Struthio camelus: one gene and its partner. Each later gene encodes a partner of the first gene's protein in a complex. Links are inferred from orthologs where the notes say so. Each region holds a gene or a part of one and is shown in the gene's direction. Other genes may lie near its edges.

Region 1 (9,062 bases):
TGGAACATATCATGCAGTCACTCCATGGCTACCCTGGTGCAAAGTCAGCTGCCTCCATCTAATGCTCATCTGCAGCGAGTCAACCAAAGCTGACTTTTCAGTGAAGCAGGTGAGGAATACTCAGCTGATCAGTTCCTTCAGGTGAGCTCTTGGACAGCCTTCAGCAGAGGGGTAGTACCACACAGCTGCGGGACATCTCTGGCTTCCGGAGCAGATGTTTGACCATAAGCGTAAATTGACTTCCACACAGTACTGACTGCAAGCTTAATGAAGCAAAACCAATATATTAATTGCAACTTAAAGTATTTTTCATATATTAGGCAAATTTCAAGTTCTCTCTGTCCCTTTAACATAATCACCCAAGGCAGATGTTTTCTGAAGGCGTAATCCATGCTTTATGTTCTGCTCTAAAAAAAAACCATATCAATGTCAGTAAGCTATCTTTCAAAAAGGAGAAAAGAGTGACAGGTTATCAACAGAAGTCATAGATTCAAAGATTCTAGTGCAAGCAGAGTGTAAACAATAAGTAACCTCTGAAATCTATTTTGGTTTGGGTCTAGCTTTTTGTCAGTGAGTCAAAGATGCCTTGAGAAAGTTTCCTACATAGGTATGTAAGCTCAGGGAATCACAAACTGCTTCAGAGTTGCTCCCATAATTAAGATGGCGAAAAGATAACAGCTTGATTCCTCAAGTCAAAAACAACTGGCCGTTCACAGAAAGAGCGAGCTTCAGATTTGCTTGGGAAATAAGGCGACCGAGGGAAAGACCACCTTTTAGTATATCACTTCACTCCCCAAGCAGTTTCTCCCTGGTTACAGCCGAGCACGGAAACTTAGCAGATCCCATATACGCTATTACATCACATACCGTACATAAGTTTCTACCACTTTGTTCTTACTCTTGCACAAAGCATTACCAAATAACCTGTAAGAGCAGTGCTATTAAGGCAAAAAGAATTGAGGGGAGGGAAAAGAAAGCCATCAAAGACTCCCTCTCAACATCTCTCATGTATACGCACAGAAAACGGGGAGGGAGAAACAGGCCTGGACTCAGCTGGCTGAAGGAAAGGCAGGGTAACTTTCGCTTATTTCTACTTATTTGCTTATTCTACGATTTTACACAGCAGATTTTATATAACAGCTTCCAGGATACTAAACAATACACTGCTCATACAGTGAGGAGAAAGGCGATGTTTCAACCCCAGAACATAGCAGTCTCTGAAGTTAAGAGAGGAGCTCTAGTAATAAAGCCCAAATTCCAAAATCACCAAGTTCTCTGGGAACTATTGATGATGTAACTAAGTTCTGCAGGCAGACTCTTCTCTCACAGCTCCTATTTGGACCAAAGGATGCAGCACAGCCAACACAGTACAGAGCATTTCAATAGTTATTACGTTCCAGGTCAGATCTTAATTGCCATGGAGCTACAACCAAAGCTCCACAGCACACACAGTGAAAACTGGAAACTTGTTCAACCTAAGCTGAAGCTAGAAAAGAGAATCAGCATTAGACTACGTATTTGTGCACATAACAGGATGGTTAATAAACATCTGAAACAAAACACAGAGTTAGCACCACTTTCAAGTAATAGTTTCCTTCTGTAGCAAGATTTCTGACTAAGGAGAGAGTGGGGGGGGGGGGAAGAGAAAGAAAATTATAATTAAGCCAAGAATACAGCTGCTTCCTACTTGCCCTTCCAGAATGCCCTGATTTCAGAATATGGAAGCAAGTAACTCCATTACTGATAAAGTCTAGGCTAGAAAGATGCAGTTTAAACATGGTCATCTTTAATTCAAGGAAAGAAAGAAAAAAAATAAGTCAGTTTAGAAAGAGTAAAATATACTCAGAACAAAAGCCACCCTCCTGAAAAGCGTGAGCAAGTTTCCACATCCAGCAAAAAGCTAAAGGGTTCCAGAAATAAGTGAAAACATTCTTCCTAACTGAAATTCACACCACTGAAGTGCCTCAGGAGTTGAAAAGCTCTGTCTCCAGTGGACATGCAGCTCCCTGCTCCCCTTCGCTCCCTTCCGCAGGGGGCCACCTCTAGAGGTAAGTGTAATTTAATCCCAAGAGCTCATTCAGTCCTAGGCCTCTCTGCTGAGAGCCAACATGGACGCTGCTTAGTGCCAGTGAGGGAGGTGTTTTCTAAGGTGTGAACACCATTTTAAAGAGAATTGCAGCGAACCTCACCAAAGTCAGTCACTCTGCGGCCAAATAACGCAGCCACAGCACAGAGTGATCTGGGTCAGATCTAGATGACAAAGGGGGTTAATTTCCACATTCCCAGAGCCACCCCGACCACCCCTAGATACTTCCTCCTTCCCCATTCCACTTTTCCTTCCCCATCGCCCAGCCAACGAAGGCAACACAGAGGTCACGCACCTGGCTATCGGACTTCGGCTCACAGACCGCTTCGCAACAAAAGGGCTGCTCGAGCGCCTTCGGCCATACGGGCTGGGCGACCTCCCGCTGTACGACCCGCTTCCTCTCTCGTAGCTTGAGGAGCGCCTCCTGTTATAGGGACTTATAGACCTCTGTCTCCGGCTGTAAGGGCTGGGAGAGCGAGTGTTCGACTGGTAGGCCACAGGCTCCTTGTAGGGCGGGCTGATCGACTGCCTGCGTGATGAGCCGCCGGGGCTCTTCTTGTAAGAATCATAGTTACTGGATGTATGAGACCGGGGAGGGCTGATATCATACTCCTGGATGTAGGAGGCTCCTGAGGGGCTGTCATCCAATTTAGGGCTGTCAGACCATTTTCTGTGAGGACTTCTGGATTTCCGCTTCGGACTGTCAATTGTTTTATAACTTTTTGGAGCATCCCTTTTCCGGTGGCTTTTACTGCGCTCTTTGTGGCTGGACTTGAGTTCTCGATCCTTCCTGGATTTCTCCTTGTGCGCTTTGGCTGACCGAGACTCCTTGTTGCTACTCTTCGAAGACAGTGACTTGGGGTGCTCCTCGTTGTCATCGAGGAGTCTCTTGGAGGATCCTGATAGTCTGTCCTTGGTGGACCCTGACCTGCTAGATGCCTCCAGGCTCTTTTCTAACTTCCTCTCCTTCTCCGCCTGCTTGCTCTTCATCAGCTCACGAATGCGCTTGTGCTGGTGGTGCCGGTGCTTCTGTATCCTTTCGCTCCTGTCCGCTTTCCTTTCCTCGTTCTCCCTCCTGTCCAGCTTGAGGGCCACATCATCCGAGAAGGTATCCGAATCTGAACTGATGTCGTCGTACTCCACCAGCGGCTTGATCATTGCGCCCAAGGGTGCCGCAGTCTCTTGGGCTGCCAGCGGTGACTCCTTGGAGTGCCTGGACTTATGCCTCTTGTGCCTGGAGGCCAGCCGATGCCTCTCCTTGCTGTTCGAACTGCCGCTGCCAGGCGCGTGCTGCGAGGACCCCCCACCGCCCCCGTCCTTCTTGCCCCCATGTCTCTCCGGATTTGGCATTCCTCCTCCACTGTGCTTGAAAGAGGGGAGGGGGGGAATCCTCCAAAACCCCCAAACTTTAAACTCCCTCAGCACCCAGCTCCCTCCCCTCCCACCATTCAGAGCAGCGTCGCCCCCCGCCTCGGCCCTCCCTGCCGCCAACACCCCCCACCCCTTACATGGGGAGCGGGCCGGCGAGCTCGGCCCCGCGGCGGCAGAGGAGAAGGAGGAGGCGGAGGAGGAGGCGGAAGGGGGAACCGGCGGCGGAAGGGCACCGGCCTCACCGCCTCACCCGAGGGGCCCAGGCCCGGAGGGCAGCGCCGCCGCGGGGGCGCCCCGGGAAGGCGGGGCCTGGGCCCAAGATCCCTCCCTCCTTCCCCCTCCCGCCGCCTCAGCACCGGGCCCCGCCGCGCCGGCCCCTCGCCCCGCCGCCGAGGCGGAAGGCCGCCCCTCGCCGCCGCCGCCCCGCGCCGCCGCGTGCCCGGCCCGGCCCGGCTCGGCCCGCCGCGCCCCCCGCTCACTTCCCAAAGCGAAACGGCACCGCGTCCAAGGGGGGGGGGGGGGCGCCCGCCAAATCTCGCGAGAGCCCGCCGCCTCTCGCGAGAACGCCGCCGCCCTCCGCCCCGCCGCCGCTGCCGCCGATCCCGCGAGAGCTGCCGGAAGGGGCGGGGAGAGGGGGGGAGGGAAGGGAAGCGGGGCGCGTTCCTCCTCTCGCGAGAGTTCTGCCGATGACGCGCTCGCCGGCGTCGAATGAAACTTTATTGGGGCCCCGAGAGCGGACAACCCCCCTCCCCCCCCCCGGCCGCGCACTTTCAACAAAACTTTATAAGGGCGCGCGGGGCGGCCATGGCCGCCCCCTTTGCCTCAGGCGGCGGCCGCCCCGGGACACGGACCCGTTCTCGAAGCGCCGCGGCCCAGCCGCCCGCTGAGGGGGGAGGTGACCGGGCCTCAGCTCTGCCAGTGGCTCGGGGCCTGGGGGAGAAGTTTCACAGGGGGCTCAAAGTTCACGGAAACCCGCCCGAGCTCGGCTGGCGAACGCGGCGCTGCTCTGAGGCTCGCTCTGGGCTTTGCGCCTTCGCCCCTACGCGACCAGGCCGAACGCCGGGGGTTACGGCTCCGCCTCTCGGCAGCGCCGGCCGGGGGAAGATGCGGGCAAGGCGGCCGCCCCGCGGGCCCGGGGAGCCGGTGCACCGCCGCGGCCTGGCAGCGAGGCGGCCAGCTCCATCGTCCGGCAGGTAGAGCCTCACAGAGGGAGCCGTAAAGGCGGCTCGGCCGCGGCTGTGAGCGGGCTGCCGCTGGCCGCCGGGCCCTGCCGGGCTGCGGGAAGCCGGCGAACGCCGCCGCGCTGAAAGGGGAGGGCGGGGCTCCCGCGGGCCACGCCCCTTTCCCCCCTCCCGCTCTCGCGAGATCGCGGCGCGCGCGCCTCTTCCCTCCCCCTCCCCTGCTTTCCCGGCTCTCGCGAGAGGACGCGGCCGCCCTCTCGCGAGAGGGCGGGAGCGCCGCGCGCCGGCCCGCCCGCAGCGCAGCCGCGGCCGTTGGGATGGCGGCGGCCGCCGAGTGAGGCCGGCGCGGAGGGGCCCGGCCGCCGCCGCCCACCCGACGCGAGGCCGGTGCCGCGGCCCGCTCGGGGCCGCCCGTCCCCAGCCGCGCCATGAAGGCGGCGCCGGGCGGCGCTGAGGGTGAGTGCCGCCTGAGGGGCGCGGCCGAGGGCGCCGGGCCGGCCCTGTGAGGAGCCGCGGGGCCCGGCCGCCCGGCGAGGGGCTCCCGGTGTCTCCGCCCCGGGTTAGGCCGTAGGTGTCGTGTATCTCCCCCCCTCCCCCCCCCCGAGAGGTGGTACCGCGGCTGCGGCCCGCCGTGAGGGGCGAGGACCCCTCGGCCGGCGGCACCGCCCCGGGCTTTCCCCGCCGTAGTGCATGTAACGCACCCCTTGGGCCTCCCCGCGCCGGCTGCAGGGCTTGTTCCATTTTTGAAGGGTATAAGGGCAAACATCCAAGGGAAGCTCTGACTGCGCTGCACTCTGGCAAAAAAAATCCCCTTGTCCCTAGTGTAACTGAGAGGTATAAAGTGCCTGGAAACATCTGACAAACGTTTAGTTATGTTTTACACTGGGACTTGGTGGGGATCCCTGCTAATTCTGTGAACTGTACGCACGTCGATCATGAAAATGAGCTCTACAAAGTTTGCAGTGTTGCACAGCATGGCGGTTAGTAGCCTTTGTGTTTGCCTTGGACCCTGCAGTGCCAGTGAGAGATTTATTTTGGCAGTGATGTCCGTTGGGTTTTTCAAAGAATGCAACTGTAGAAAAAGCTGTCTCCTAGATAGCAAAAGAAATGTCAAATTATAACACTTTTGAAACTGTCTCTTTTTTTTTGTATGTGTTTTTTATTAGACATTGGGCAAAAATACACTATTCTAATTTGGATTTTTTTAGTTAATCTGCCTGATGATAGTTTTCTGCCCAGTCAGTGTCCCTGTCTCCCACCTCTCATCAGTTTATCTCATCAGGGAGATACTTTTCCTAACAGTGGAACTTTCTAAAATACAGGAAAACGAGCTTGTAAAACCATACCTAATAGAAGGAAGTTGGTGGGATATGACAAGCATTTTGTAAAGGTTGACTAGATTCCAGTCTGGTACTGAGCTGTGAACCACTCTTGAAGGCAGAGCAAAACAGGTCATCAATTGCTTTGTTAGATCACAGGATATAGAGCCGTACACTGGTTCCAGAACAGCACGAAGACACCAGTCCTTGGTCTCAGGCTAACAGAGGGTGGGTGAAAACGTGTCTGGTCAGAGAGTTTTCGACCCTCTGAAGCACTGGCAGTTGAATCAATTTAATTAAGGGTGTGAGAGATGAAGGGATCAGTGCAAATCTTTACAATGCAAGAAGTCGGAGGGTTAGAAGAGTATGAACAGTGAAGGTGAAGTCAGGAGATGAAAGCTTAACCTCTGTTCTTTAAAAGTTTGCTGATGCGATGTTTTCTACACTCTCTACTCCTTGTCCTCAAAAAGCTTCAGCACGTCTTTAAGCCATGCTGCTGTAAACCCAAACAGTGCTCTGACATATTACTGTCATACAGAACTTAGTCGTCTGGAACCGTTCATCTCATTCAGGGTCCATGCAGAATAGTAACTGGGCTTCTCCCAACGAGCCCTTAGACCTTTGATGATCATCTAGGTTTTAATAGTTATATCTATTAGTTATAATATTTTAATAGATACATCCTTAATGTCATATAACCTTGAAGTCTAGGTCCCAGTGATAAATCAGCAATAAGTAAGTTTTGTGAAATCATTTTTAGCTTGAAGATGGAAAGTGTTTTTGTTACAACTGCCTGCTTGTTGTATTTGTAAAACTTTAAATTTTATCTAGTTCTCTCTCTTCTGAATTTTCTCCTATGATTTGCCTTATAGAAGCAGAGAAGCTGAATAAGATGAGTTCGCTCTTAGAAAGACTTCATGCAAAGTTTAACCAAAACAGACCTTGGACAGAAACCATGAAGCTAGTCCGCCAAGTCATGGTGAGGATTGTTGGAATCTGAGCAGGAGAGTTTCAGGAGCATCTTTAGTAATGATTCTGTTGTTGGTTTGTTAGATCTCTTCAAAGCGCTTTGCTTTTTATCCAAGCCTCGACTTCCTGTTGGGCCACTGCGGTTGAGGCATGCCGGTTGTCTCGCCCAGCAGCGTGCAGGGGAGTGATGTGCATGTCCTGTCTGCCTGGAGTGCCTCTGCTTTCCCTGGTTGCAGCCTCCCGCTTTACAGCCTAATTGACAGGGGGCAGCTGTCAGTACAAATGCAGGAAGAGGGCCAAACTTAAGGTCTCTCACCACCGGTTCAAACCACAACTGTTCTGCCACTTGCTGTTTCGAGATGTTTTATTTTCTTAAGCAATTTACTCCTTTGTCCGTAGTGTTCAGAATTCAGTGTTGGCTTAGTTGAATGTGGTTTTGAAACATTAGTTTCTGGGTGGGGGAAGGTAGGAGCAGAAGGCAGGAGAGAGCTACATCAAAGGTTTCTGCATGTGTTGTTCTGAGATGTTAAAAGTTTGCCCGTCTAGGTATTTCTCTGTCTCCTCTTATATAACTCTCAGCTTATGCCTATTAAAAAGTTATTACAGTCTGTTCTTCCAGATGAGCGAGTTGCTTAAAGAACAAGTTGCCTGCCTTTGTTACCTGCTTTCAAAATGGATACTGTTGTTATTATAGGAATCGAAATGAGGATGTAATTTTGGGATGAAGTCTAATCTGCCTTTAATTACCTGAATAAAGCTTAGTTGACTGAGCAAAAATTGCAGTAATTCCCTCTCAGTGAGATATATATCAAAAGGTCATTTTTCTTCTCTCTGACTAAGGAAAAGCGAGTTGTGATGAACTCCGGGGGGCACCAACATCTGGTGAGCTGTTTGGAGACTTTGCAGAAGGCATTAAAAGGTTAGTACGTCTGTGCGTTCACTTTATGTACTGCTTAGCAATGGTACGCTGTGGAAATATTCCACGTCATAAAAGCAAGCAAGGTTCTTGCTAGCACGTATCTCTCTGCGTTCTTGGTGTATGTGTGCTCATGTTTACGTAAGCATGCTTACCTCTTATGGTTCAGTACCACTCAAGATTGCCTGTTATTTTTATTGTAAATACCCATACCTGAATTCCACTTGTCTGGAATGTGGAAGGAAATCCGTTCTCTCCTTGTATTCCTGAGGAGTGTTTGTTTTTCTCTTTAAAAATTGTTCTGCCTGAAGTTTGGGTGTTGATAATATGTATAGCTGCATGTGTGAAGGTATGAGAACACCTGGGAGTGGGTAAGTTGTTGAGATTGCTTTTAATGCTGCTGTCTCATTCCTGGAGGAATGTTGAATCATTTCACTAAGCCTTGCTTTTTGCTTTCTCCATCTAGTATCTTCTCTGCCTGCCATGACAGATCGTTTAGAGTCTATAGCTAGACAGAATGGGTAGGTTGTCTTCTTATTTTATGGCAAAGGCATTTCTTGTTTATCTGTACACATCGTAATCTCGCTGCTGGTTTGATTGTTTTTTGTGTGCATCTCATAGCAATTTTTGTTTTGTTTTGTATGTAAGCCTTGGATCTCACCTTAGTGCAAATGGCACTGAATGTTACATCACTTCAGACATGTTCTATGTGGAAGTCCAGTTAGATCCTACAGGGCTGCTGTGTGATGTCAAGGTGGCTCACCATGGAGAAAATCCTGTGGTATGTATTACTGAAAATGTGAGAGTGATACTTTTTTGTCTTTGGAACTGCTGTTTTGGTTCCCTTCTATATGAGCAGAGGAAATGGATTATACTGAACATTGGTCGAGGCCTAACAGTTTATTTTTACTGCTTGCTCTAGTGGAAATTAAAAACCTCCTTGGAGTAGTCTGTTCTTATGCTTTAATCTGATGATCAATGCAGTGCATGTGTGCAAGGACCATTTTGCTGAGGGGTCCCTCTTTTCTTCTGAGTGGCGTTATAAGTAGCAAAATTATTTAGGAAGTTACTTGTTTTTCTGGGAATTCCTTGAGAAAGGAGAGGGAAATTAATCTTATGAGGCTTAGCTCTGTGAATGGAAAACCCTAAAACCTGGAAGCATACAGCTAAGGTCCTGGAAGAAAATTGCTTTACTTCCCTCCCCCACATGTATGGGGGTT
Region 2 (9,405 bases), on another chromosome or scaffold:
GCAGTGGAAATGTCAGTCAGAACCCCAAGCAAGGCTGTGAAGAGCAGAGCAACAGTGAGGGAGCTGAGAAGATGCCATCAGCCAGCCTCAGCACTGTTGAGATGTGGAGGTGAGCAAACCAAAGGATATGCTACAGCACCTGCCAGACTTAGCGAGGCCTTGGCTCTGCGCCTCTGAGATAGGCATTGCTCGCGCTTTCTCACAGGGCTGCTGAAGCCCTGGTGCAGTTTGCAGATGGTGGTGGATGAATGTGAAAAAGGCCCAGACACAAACAGCGCTGCACTGAACACCTTCCTGTGGGCAAGGCGCCTGCGTGCGCAGCGCAGGCCTCGCAGCTGCTGGAGGGGAGCTGGTGCCTTCACACCCCCCCGGTGCCTTTGAAGCCTCCCTCTACAGATCGACACGGTGCAACCACGCTGGCTGCGGTGCAGGATGGCAAGAGCAGGCTGGATGTGCTGTGCGAGAGCCCAGGATATCTCTCTCGCACATCAGATTCTGGCTTTGTTAAAGGAGATAAAATCAGGAAGCTGGGGAAAAGGCACGGTGCACTGTGGTGTGCAAGCAGCCCACAGCAGCTGGGCTTTGTATGCTGCTTTCTTTCACGTGGCTTCTGCTCCTGCTGTAGCTCGGTTGTCAAGGAAGAAGGTGCCAGCTCTTGGGAGAAGCAAAGCTGAGAGGCCATTTTTCAGCACAGGCAAGGTACTGCTGCAACAGGGAGCTGCAGGGGCTTTTCTACCTGGGTCTTCTCAGCAGGACTTTGTGCTGGTTTCAGGGGCAAGGCCAGTTATGCGCAAGCATGTGGGCCTTGTACTGTCACAGCATCACCTGGAGCCCTTAGCAAGTCCCCAGGTAAGTGCAGAACCTCACAGGCCAAGAGGAGGAAAAATGCAGCTGGGTTTTCCAGTGGATATGAAACGTGTGTGGGCAGGCTGCTGCAATGAGGGCAGGTACGCAGCCTCACTGGGCAGCCGAGGAAAGCGGCCCTGGAGGCTGGAGCTTTACAAACCTTGCTGAGGAGCAAACCCAGTATGTTTCAAAAAAAAAAACCCAGCTCCTTCACTAGCAAAAGGGGCTGGCGGGCATTTTGGAGGAGGGACGGTGGTGGGGAGAGGGAGGTCAGTGGCTGGGGAGCCAAGTCGCAGGGACAAGTCTGCAATAGGTGCAGCAAGGGGAAGGAGGGTGGCCCAGGCCCAGGAGCAGCCAGCAAGGGACCCACTGCAGGGAGCAGTAAAGGAACTGGGGGGGAGTCAAGGCTGCCCTGTGCCCCAGCCTGCTCCCAGGCACCCTAAGAAGCATAGCTCATTGCTCTCTGCCAGCTGGAGGCTTTTCCCTCTGTGCTGGCCACCATGGGGCTTTCCCTGTTGCTTTCAGTACTGCTGTGCTGCTCTTGCACTCGCCACTGCCCGGACCATGTGCCCCGTGCCCACGCTGTCGCAGCTCAGGGCTGTAGTGCAGCCTAACAGTGGACATGACAAAGGCAGCTCTACACCTCACTTGCCTGGTAATAGCTGGTAAGAAAACCCTGGTACCCTTACCCTGGTAATAGGGTAAGGAAACCCTCAAGCACTAGAAGGAGCCCTTTTTTTTTTTTTTTTAAACCCCTTAGAGCAGCTTTGACAACAGTTGAGACATCACCACCTCACACAACGTGCACCTCTCTTACAGCCAACAAAACACGCGTGGCCTGTCCCTGCCCTGCTCAGTGCTGACCCTCTCCCCCTGCTCAAGCAGCAGCCTGGGGAACCCCCCTCACAACTCCCTGCACCTCTGCATTTCTGCTAGCAGGTCCCAGCCCTTTCTCACCCTGCTTCCCTTGAAGAGGGAGCCACTCTCCCTTCCCTCGCCCACCGGGTTCTCGGGGCACAGTGTAGGCAGGAGTCCCCTGGGCAGCAGGGGCACAGGGAGGGGAGCGGGGATGCACAGGGGCCCTTTTCTCCCTTCGCAGCTGGGACAGCACCTGCAGCTCTGGCACGCAGCTCTGCACGAAGCCTCCAGCTCGTGGCTTTGCTCTGCCACCTGCTGGGGACAGTCCAAGGCAGATAGGACACAGCAACACTAGGACAAGGCAGCGCCACACCATGGGCGCAGCTGAAAGAGAGGTCTGACCGTGGGGCAGAATCGCCCCTGGACCGATAGACACAGCTTGGGCTTTATTCTCCAAAATGGGAACAGGCCAAACCCTCCTCTCACCTGGGTACTGCTGGGCACCGGACTCGCAGGGTGGGACAGGGGACTGCCTTGTCCCACAACAAGCAGCGCAAAGAGCACAGTCTGGGTCACTGGACACAGCCTGCTCCTAGCACCCGGCTTGGAGCAGCAGGATCCCAGGGACAGAAGCTCACATGCACCTCCCAATGGCTTCGTTCCGAGCCGAGCTCCAAGCTGCATCCACCAGCGTCCTCAGGCAGTTGGCAAGCTCTCAGAGCAGATCCCTGCCTCCCCACCTCTTCCTGCTCACTCCATGGCCACAGGCTGCTGCCCTTCCACATCCCGTGTCTTGGAGTTCACCAGCTCCCTCCGGATCTCTGGCGAGATCTGTGGGTGGCAGTGGAATTTGAGCAGCTCGAGCAAGGCCTCTTTCTGCTCCGAGGACAGGTCCTCCTTGTAGCGCTGGGCGAAGGCCAGGAAGCTCTGGTGCCACAGGACAGGGAGGACCCGCTGGTCTGTGCGGAAGGCCAGGAAGTGGAAGACAAGCGCATCCACCACGCGGAAGGGCAGTGCATACTTCTTGTCAATGAGCAAGCGGAGGAAGATGCTGTTGGCACCGCTGTACTGCATCTCAGCAATCTTCAGCATGGCTGCGCTGTGGGGACGGAGGGAGCACCAAGGTGAGGGCAGGTGTGGCAGGGCCTCAGCACCTGCAGGCCAAGCAAGAGCTACGGGGCACCCGTGACGTGGACAGCTGAAGGCTCCCTTTCTCCCAGGTTAGCTTGTCCCTTGAGCCCTGCCCCAGTGGGTCCCAGACACACGGATGACAGCCCCAGCACTGCAGGAAGCCTTGAACCTCAGCCCTGCACAGACAAGGCAGAGCTGGGTGAAACCTTCTCTGTCTCCGAGAGGCCAGAGAGGCTTAGGGACAGATCCATTGCATCGCTCCGGCATCACAAAGGGAGAACCGTTCCCCCTGCCCATCCTTCCCAGTACCCCATGGCAGCAGGGCCCCACTGCCACGTTACCTGGAGTGAAGGACAGGGATAGAGCACTTGGTGAGGATGCTGCCGATGATGATGGCTTCCCGCAGCGTGCAGGTCCCCGACTCGCACAGGGGGATGAGGATCCCTGCCAGGGGCGGGGGGGAAAGTGTTAGACACTGCTGTCCTTAAACATAGCAGGCAGAGCTGCCTTCTCCTATCCCCGGATGCATCTGACTCCAGGAATTAGAGGATCCTCCATTGGTTTATGTTATGGGAGTTTCAATATCTCTTTCCACCCTCTTCTCCATGCATCTAGCACCAAACATCCTCAGGTTGCTAGACAATATGCAGATCAGGCCTAGGATAATTTGTAATGGGCTACTGACCTCCAAAAGAAACCAAGTATCTGCCAGTATCTGCTGGCAGCACCTGCGTAACCCGCCAGTACCCATTGCCCTTCAGCACAGAAGGGTGCAAATGGGCCCAAGGGGGTCTCTACATCTCTTTTGCTTCTTCTCTGCCCTCCTTCTTCCCACCAACCCCTTGGGCTGCTGCAGCCGTGACAGAAGTCATCGCACCACACACAGCATGGTGTGCTGTTACAAGGCAAGTGTGCAACACATGCCCCTGCTGAGCTTCCCAGCTGCTGTATGGCTGCAAGGCTCCTATGTACAAACCATCACCCTGTGGGAAGTCTCTACCTTTGAACCAGGCTCCTGGCTTGAACAAAGCCTTCTTCAAAGCCATGTAGAGGTGAAAGTTGAGACGCTTGTACTCGGCGATGTCATCCCTGACCCGAGGCAGCAGTACCAGGTTGTAGAACCTCTGGGCCATCCTTTCTTTCAGGTTGGATGAAAATATCCTGGGAAGAGCGAAGCACAAAGCAAGCTGTGATCTGTCTGTCTCTGGAGAGAGGTCCTGGGAGTGTGTAACTGCAGGCAGTACCTGAGCCAGGGCATCAGCTATGAGATCCCCATGACTCCCTCCACCTTGGCATGCAAAGGAACAGGAAAGCAGGACACAGACTGGCATTTTGCGTATCTGGTATTCGCTTGTGGAAAGATGAAGCGAATAATAAAAAAAAAAAATCAGTAATTCCCAGACACAATTCTACCTGGTTGCTTGGTACATGGCAGCTGCTGTCCATGTCTCTGGCTCTGTGATGTACAGGATCTGCTCCCAGTTGGATAAGGCAGGAATGATTTTAAATGCCTTGGGGAGTTTGCCACTCCTGTATTTGGACAGCACCTTAAAAAAAAACAAAAAAAGGAATGGATGCAAGCCTGGCAGTGATATAGTGGAACTGACAGCAGGACCATGGGGATTCGTCAGGATTTGTTTCATGACCTTGAGATTCAGTCATTCAGAAACACTCTGGGGTCTTCAGTGAATGACACTATGTAAATCGCAGTTAATTTATTTTGAAGAGAAAGAGCACACCCAGGGAAGCACTGTCTGGGCCGTGCTAACTAATCACACCACCCTCCCATTTCTGGTGTGGGGTTTCTCTCGGGCTTCCCAGGGTGTCTCACTGCAAGGAGATTAGCAACTTTGCTCATGAAAATGCCAATTTACCCCCAGCTGAGCTTCTCTCCTTGAACACGTCCTGATCGCTGTACTTACTACCAGCGAAGGGAAAGGGGGGCTCGGCAGCGATCGCTGCCAGGTGAGCGCTACGGGCTGTAGCAGAACAGCCTCTGAGGCAGCCTCGCCGCCGGGCCCCCGCGCAGAGCGGAGCCGCCTCGGCCTTACTTCTCGGACGCCCCTGTAGACCTCCAGGACGCGGGGGTCGAGCTGAGGCATGGGGCAACCCGTTATCTCCGACATCGCCGTCTCCACCTCCGTCTGCTTCTCCGTGATCTTCTCCATGATGATGTCCGCCAGCGTGCGCCTGGGGCCGGGACGAAGGGAAGCGAGAGTGAGTCAAGCGTCGGTCCCCGGCCCCCGGCCCGGCGCCCCGCCGGCCCCCGGCCCACCTCAGCGGCGGGTTCCTGCTCATGAACATCTCGATGGCCTTCTCGTCCTCGGGGTCCACGGCCACCTCCTGGCACCACCGCCCCGCCGCGGCCTGCTCCAGCGAGGGCCACTCTTCCTCCTCCTCCTCCGCCGCCGCCTCCTCCTCCTCGCTGTCCGGGCCGGGCGGCGCGGGGCCTGCGTGAAACGGGGCCGGGTCAGCGCGGGGCAAGGCCGGACCCCCCCCCCCCGGCCTCCCCCCGACCCCGCCTCGGGGCTCACCCAGGGCAGCGGCGGGCGCGCCGGGGCCGTGCTCGGCCTCCAGCTCCTCCTGCTGCCGCCGCGCCTGCTCCAGGATCCGCCGCGACAGCCGCGAGTCCACGTAGCCGCCATCATCATCGCCACCCGCCGCGCCGCGCCGCTTCACGCGCGCCGTGGGCCGCGGCGCCGCCGCCCGCAGGATCTGCTCGGCCAGCGGCGGCGCCCGCTCGCGGGGCCCTGCCCGGGCCGGGGCCTTCGGCATGATGGCGGCGGCGGCGGCGGGGGAGCGAGGCCGGGCCGGGAGGGCGCGCGCGGCGCCGCAGGCACCACGTCACACGCCGCCTCACGCCCCGCACGTCACTTCCGCCCCGCCCGCGGCCCCCGCGCGGCAGCGGCGCTGCCGGGGCCGCCGCCGCCGCGCGCCATGGGCGTCACGTGGTAAGGATGGCGGGGGGGGGGAGGGGGGCGCGAGGCGGTTCCCCCTCTCCCCTCCACCGTGGGTGCCGTCTCGGGGGGCTGCGGCGGACGGTTCCCCCGTGGGTGCTGGCCGGGGGGCAACTGCATGTTCCCTCCCCCGTGGGTGCTCTCGTTGCGGGGGTTGCGGTGTTCCTTCCTCCTCCCGTGGGCCCCGTCACGGGGAGGCCGCAGCGGGAGCTGTCCCCCCCCCTTCCGTGGGCCCCGTCACGGGGAGGCCGCAGCGGAGGGTGTCCCCCCCCTTCCGTGGGCCTCGTCACGGGGAGGCCGCAGCGGAGGGTGTCCCCCCCCTTCCGTGGGCCCCGTCACGGGGAGGCCGCAGCGGAGGGTGTCCCCCCCCTTCCGTGGGCCCCGTCACGGGGAGGCCGCAGCGGAGGGTGTCCCCCCCCCTTCCGTGGGCCCCGTCACGGGGAGGCCGCAGCGGGAGCTGTCCCCCCCCCTTCCATGGGCCCCGTCACGGGGAGGCTGTGGCAGATGGCCCCCCCCCAGCGTGGGTGCTGTCACGGGGGGACACCGTGGCCCTCCCCCCGTCCCGGGTGCCGTTAACCCCCTGGCTCGGGGCCGTGGCGGCCAGGCCGGGTCCCCGGGCTCGCAGGCGCCGCTGACGCCTCCCCCCGCAGCGTGGCGCAGGTGCCCGTGGCCGAGGGCAAGAGCGTCCAGCAGACGGTCGAAATGCTGACGAGGAAGCTGGAGCTGCTGGGGGCGGAGAAGCAGGGGACGTTTTGCGTGGACTGCGAGACCTACCACACCGCCGCCTCCACCATGGGCAACCAAGGTCAGGGCCGGCCCCCCGCTGCCGCCACCCCCGGGCATGCCCCGCAGCTGCGGTCCCCCGGAGACCGGTCGCGGTAAAAGGGAGGGAGGTGGTTGCAGGCTCTCATCCAGTGCCAGCTCGGAGGCTTCTCTTCTCCCGTGAGCGTTTCTCGGTCTTTCATCTCGTGCCCAGCGTGCTGGTAGCGAAATCCGGCTGCAGTAACAGCGAGGTCCCTTGTGGAACAAGCGCGTGCTACGTGCGAGATCGCCGCTCTGCCCTGCAATTGAGGTTTCTTCCACAAGTCAGCATCATTTTATTTATTGTGTTGAGCTCTTGTGGGGAACGGGCAGTTGCCTGGCTGCTTGTAAAAGCTTTTTTCTACCTTGAAAGATTCATACCGCAGTTCACCTCTTCCCCTCTCAGATGAATAGCTTTGGGAAACATAGCGCCCCTGCGCATCGTCCCCAGAGAGCCGGGGAAGGTCATTCCGACAGCTCCGCTGGCCCCGCGGCTGGGTGCTGCGTGCCGTGGGCTGCCCTGGAACAGACATGTTGAATGACTAAACGCGCCGTTCCACTTGGGAGCCTGTTGTGTCTCACTAATGCTGTTTTCTCTGTTACACACATGCCCCACGGTTGTCCTTTCCTGCACTGAGGATAGCTGTGTTGTGTCAGCGCTTAAGGATTCTTAACTGGAATATCAGCAGCTGTGTAGGATCTCTCTTTTGTGCGTGTGAAATAAGATAAGTGGTCAAAAACCAGCTGCCAGTTTGGCAGTGTTTTTTTCCCTAAGGCTTCTTAAAGCGTTACTGTTGGTGACTTGTTTTGGAGGCTGCGTTTTGCACAGCAGCTAAGTTACAGGAGTCTCCTGAGAGCAACTTGTTGCTGTCACCTGCTCTGCCCTTCTTCTCCAGGAGGGTGAGCGATCGAGGGCAGGAGGTGGTAGCAGAGAAGAAAGCAGGCTCCCCAGGGCAGGCAGGCGGTGGTGAGCAGCTCTAGGGGAATTTCTGAGGTGTGAAATGACCCAGTCGTGGCCGGGGGATGTGCTTGGAGGACCTGGCATTCCCTCTGGACATCACAGGGCCTAACGGGAGAGCTGAAAGACGTGACTTAATCTGCTCACTTGGGGGGACTGTGCTCCCCTCCTTTTCCCTCCCAAGCATGTGGCTTTTAACAGCATTTAAAAACCAGTGTGAACATCCCTCCAGTGTTTCTGCGGCTGCAGAGGTCAGCACTGAGCCCTTCCAGCCTCACCGCTCTTCCCAGGCAGATTGGTGCAGCTGGGGTGCTGCTTCAGCTGCCCTGCTGTCGGGTTTTGCGGATGTGTCTGCAGGTTTGAAGCTATGAGAGGGGCTTTTTGCTGGAGCTGGAACTGGAACTTGCACAATCACATCTGTTGAGAGGCTTTTTTAACCAACACAGATAAATGAGAATCCTCTTCCACTTCTGAATCACTGTACAAGCTAGGCACATCCTCTCTGGATGTCCTGTTTTCCAGAATGTGCCCAGGCACCTCCTTCCTTTGCTAGCTCTGTGGGGCTGGTCAGCGACTGGGAGATGAGGCAAAACCCAGCTTTTCTCCCTTTACTGCAGGGCTGAAGAGGACAGCCCCATGTTCTGGGAGGGGAGCAGGTGCTCTTTGCTGACCCTCTCATCCTGCTGGAGATCTAACATCCAAGTCTGGCCCTTGAGTTGCACTGCCGTCTTGTCCCTGGGCAAGGAGTGGCTGCATGAGATTTTTTTTTCCTTTAGTTTTAAACCCTAAGAGGGAAATATAACCTATCTCCGGAACACTCAGAAAACGTAAAGTGTGTGAGACTAATACAAGGATCCTAGAATTGAAGCAGCAAGGAAAACAAAGGGAAAGCAAAGAGATGTTTCTTTCTTAAAAGCACATACAAGCACAGGACTGTTGTTTCTGCAGCCCATATATCATTGCTCTTGTTTCAGGGCAGACAGGCAAGCTGATGTATGTGATGCACAACTCTGAATATCCCCTCAGCTGTTTCGCTCTCTTTGAAAATGGTCCCTGCCTCATAGCAGATGCCAACTTTGATATCCTTATGGTGAAGCTGAAAGGCTTCTTCCAAAATGCCAAGGCGAACAAGATAGAGAGCCGGGGAACCCGCTACCAGTACTGTGACTTCTTGGTGAAGGTGGGCACGGTTACAATGGGGCCCAGTGCCCGTGGGATATCTGTGGAGGTAAGGATTGTCTTTGATTGATATAAAATACAACTACAGATAGAGAAATCTCATATTAGATGCTAGACTAGAAATCTTGAGCCCCTCTTCCTTCCATGTATTGACTGCTTGGCCTGCAGGCCAGCCTCTCAAATGTGAACTTGTATACTAGTTGCTGTTAGTTTGTACTAGATGTATTCGTGTATGTGCAAGGAGTATTTATTGCCTTTTCAAGGCAAGGTTTAATTCAGGCAGATACTCTGGGGCTCAGCTGCAGCTGTGGAAGAGCCTGTCATTGAAGTGTCAATAAACAAAGCCCTGAAGGGATGCCATCAAACTAAAAAGCTGCTTAAAGTCCTGACGCACGACACTAGTAGCACGCTTCAGGTTATTAAACATACCAAGGGGGACAAAACAATCTCTTTAGCTGATAATTTAATGCTGATTTGGGTTTTGCTTTCTTTCCCCATCTTGAGCAGAAAATGGCTGGGCTTAGGCATCCCAGTGGAGAGCACGGTCCTCCTGCCCTAGGTTCTGCACGCACATGGCATAAAGATGGCGTCTCCTCTTCAGAGAGCTTTGCGTTGCAGGCGTCAGTCCTACCCCATGGCTGACCTGGATTGCTGCACTGTGGGGTGCAGTGTGGG

The links.
Region 2: MED1 (region 1) and MED20 share a complex: the UniProt entries of both Homo sapiens proteins name them as parts of the mediator complex. The link is inferred for Struthio camelus from reciprocal best matches to the Homo sapiens genes MED1 and MED20.

The regions. Positions count from the first base shown.
Region 1 is NC_090966.1:6,513,350-6,522,411, reverse strand, and holds the start of MED1 (mediator of RNA polymerase II transcription subunit 1), read left to right. Parts: upstream 1-4,991; 5' UTR 4,992-5,066; coding exon 5,067-5,094; intron 5,095-6,829; coding exon 6,830-6,936; intron 6,937-7,766; coding exon 7,767-7,845; intron 7,846-8,308; coding exon 8,309-8,363; intron 8,364-8,490; coding exon 8,491-8,623; intron 8,624-9,062. Other genes in the region: CDK12 (cyclin-dependent kinase 12), read right to left, coding at 2,382-3,436. UniProt on the Homo sapiens protein: Component of the Mediator complex, a coactivator involved in the regulated transcription of nearly all RNA polymerase II-dependent genes.
Region 2 is NC_090965.1:6,382,318-6,391,722, reverse strand, and holds the start of MED20 (mediator of RNA polymerase II transcription subunit 20), read left to right. Parts: upstream 1-5,699; 5' UTR 5,700-5,772; coding exon 5,773-5,786; intron 5,787-5,794; exon of another isoform or gene 5,795-5,884; intron 5,885-6,442; coding exon 6,443-6,597; intron 6,598-8,525; coding exon 8,526-8,779; intron 8,780-9,405. Other genes in the region: BYSL (bystin), read right to left, coding at 2,455-2,803, 3,177-3,279, 3,836-3,996, 4,249-4,382, 4,887-5,025, 5,111-5,285, 5,370-5,610. UniProt on the Homo sapiens protein: Component of the Mediator complex, a coactivator involved in the regulated transcription of nearly all RNA polymerase II-dependent genes.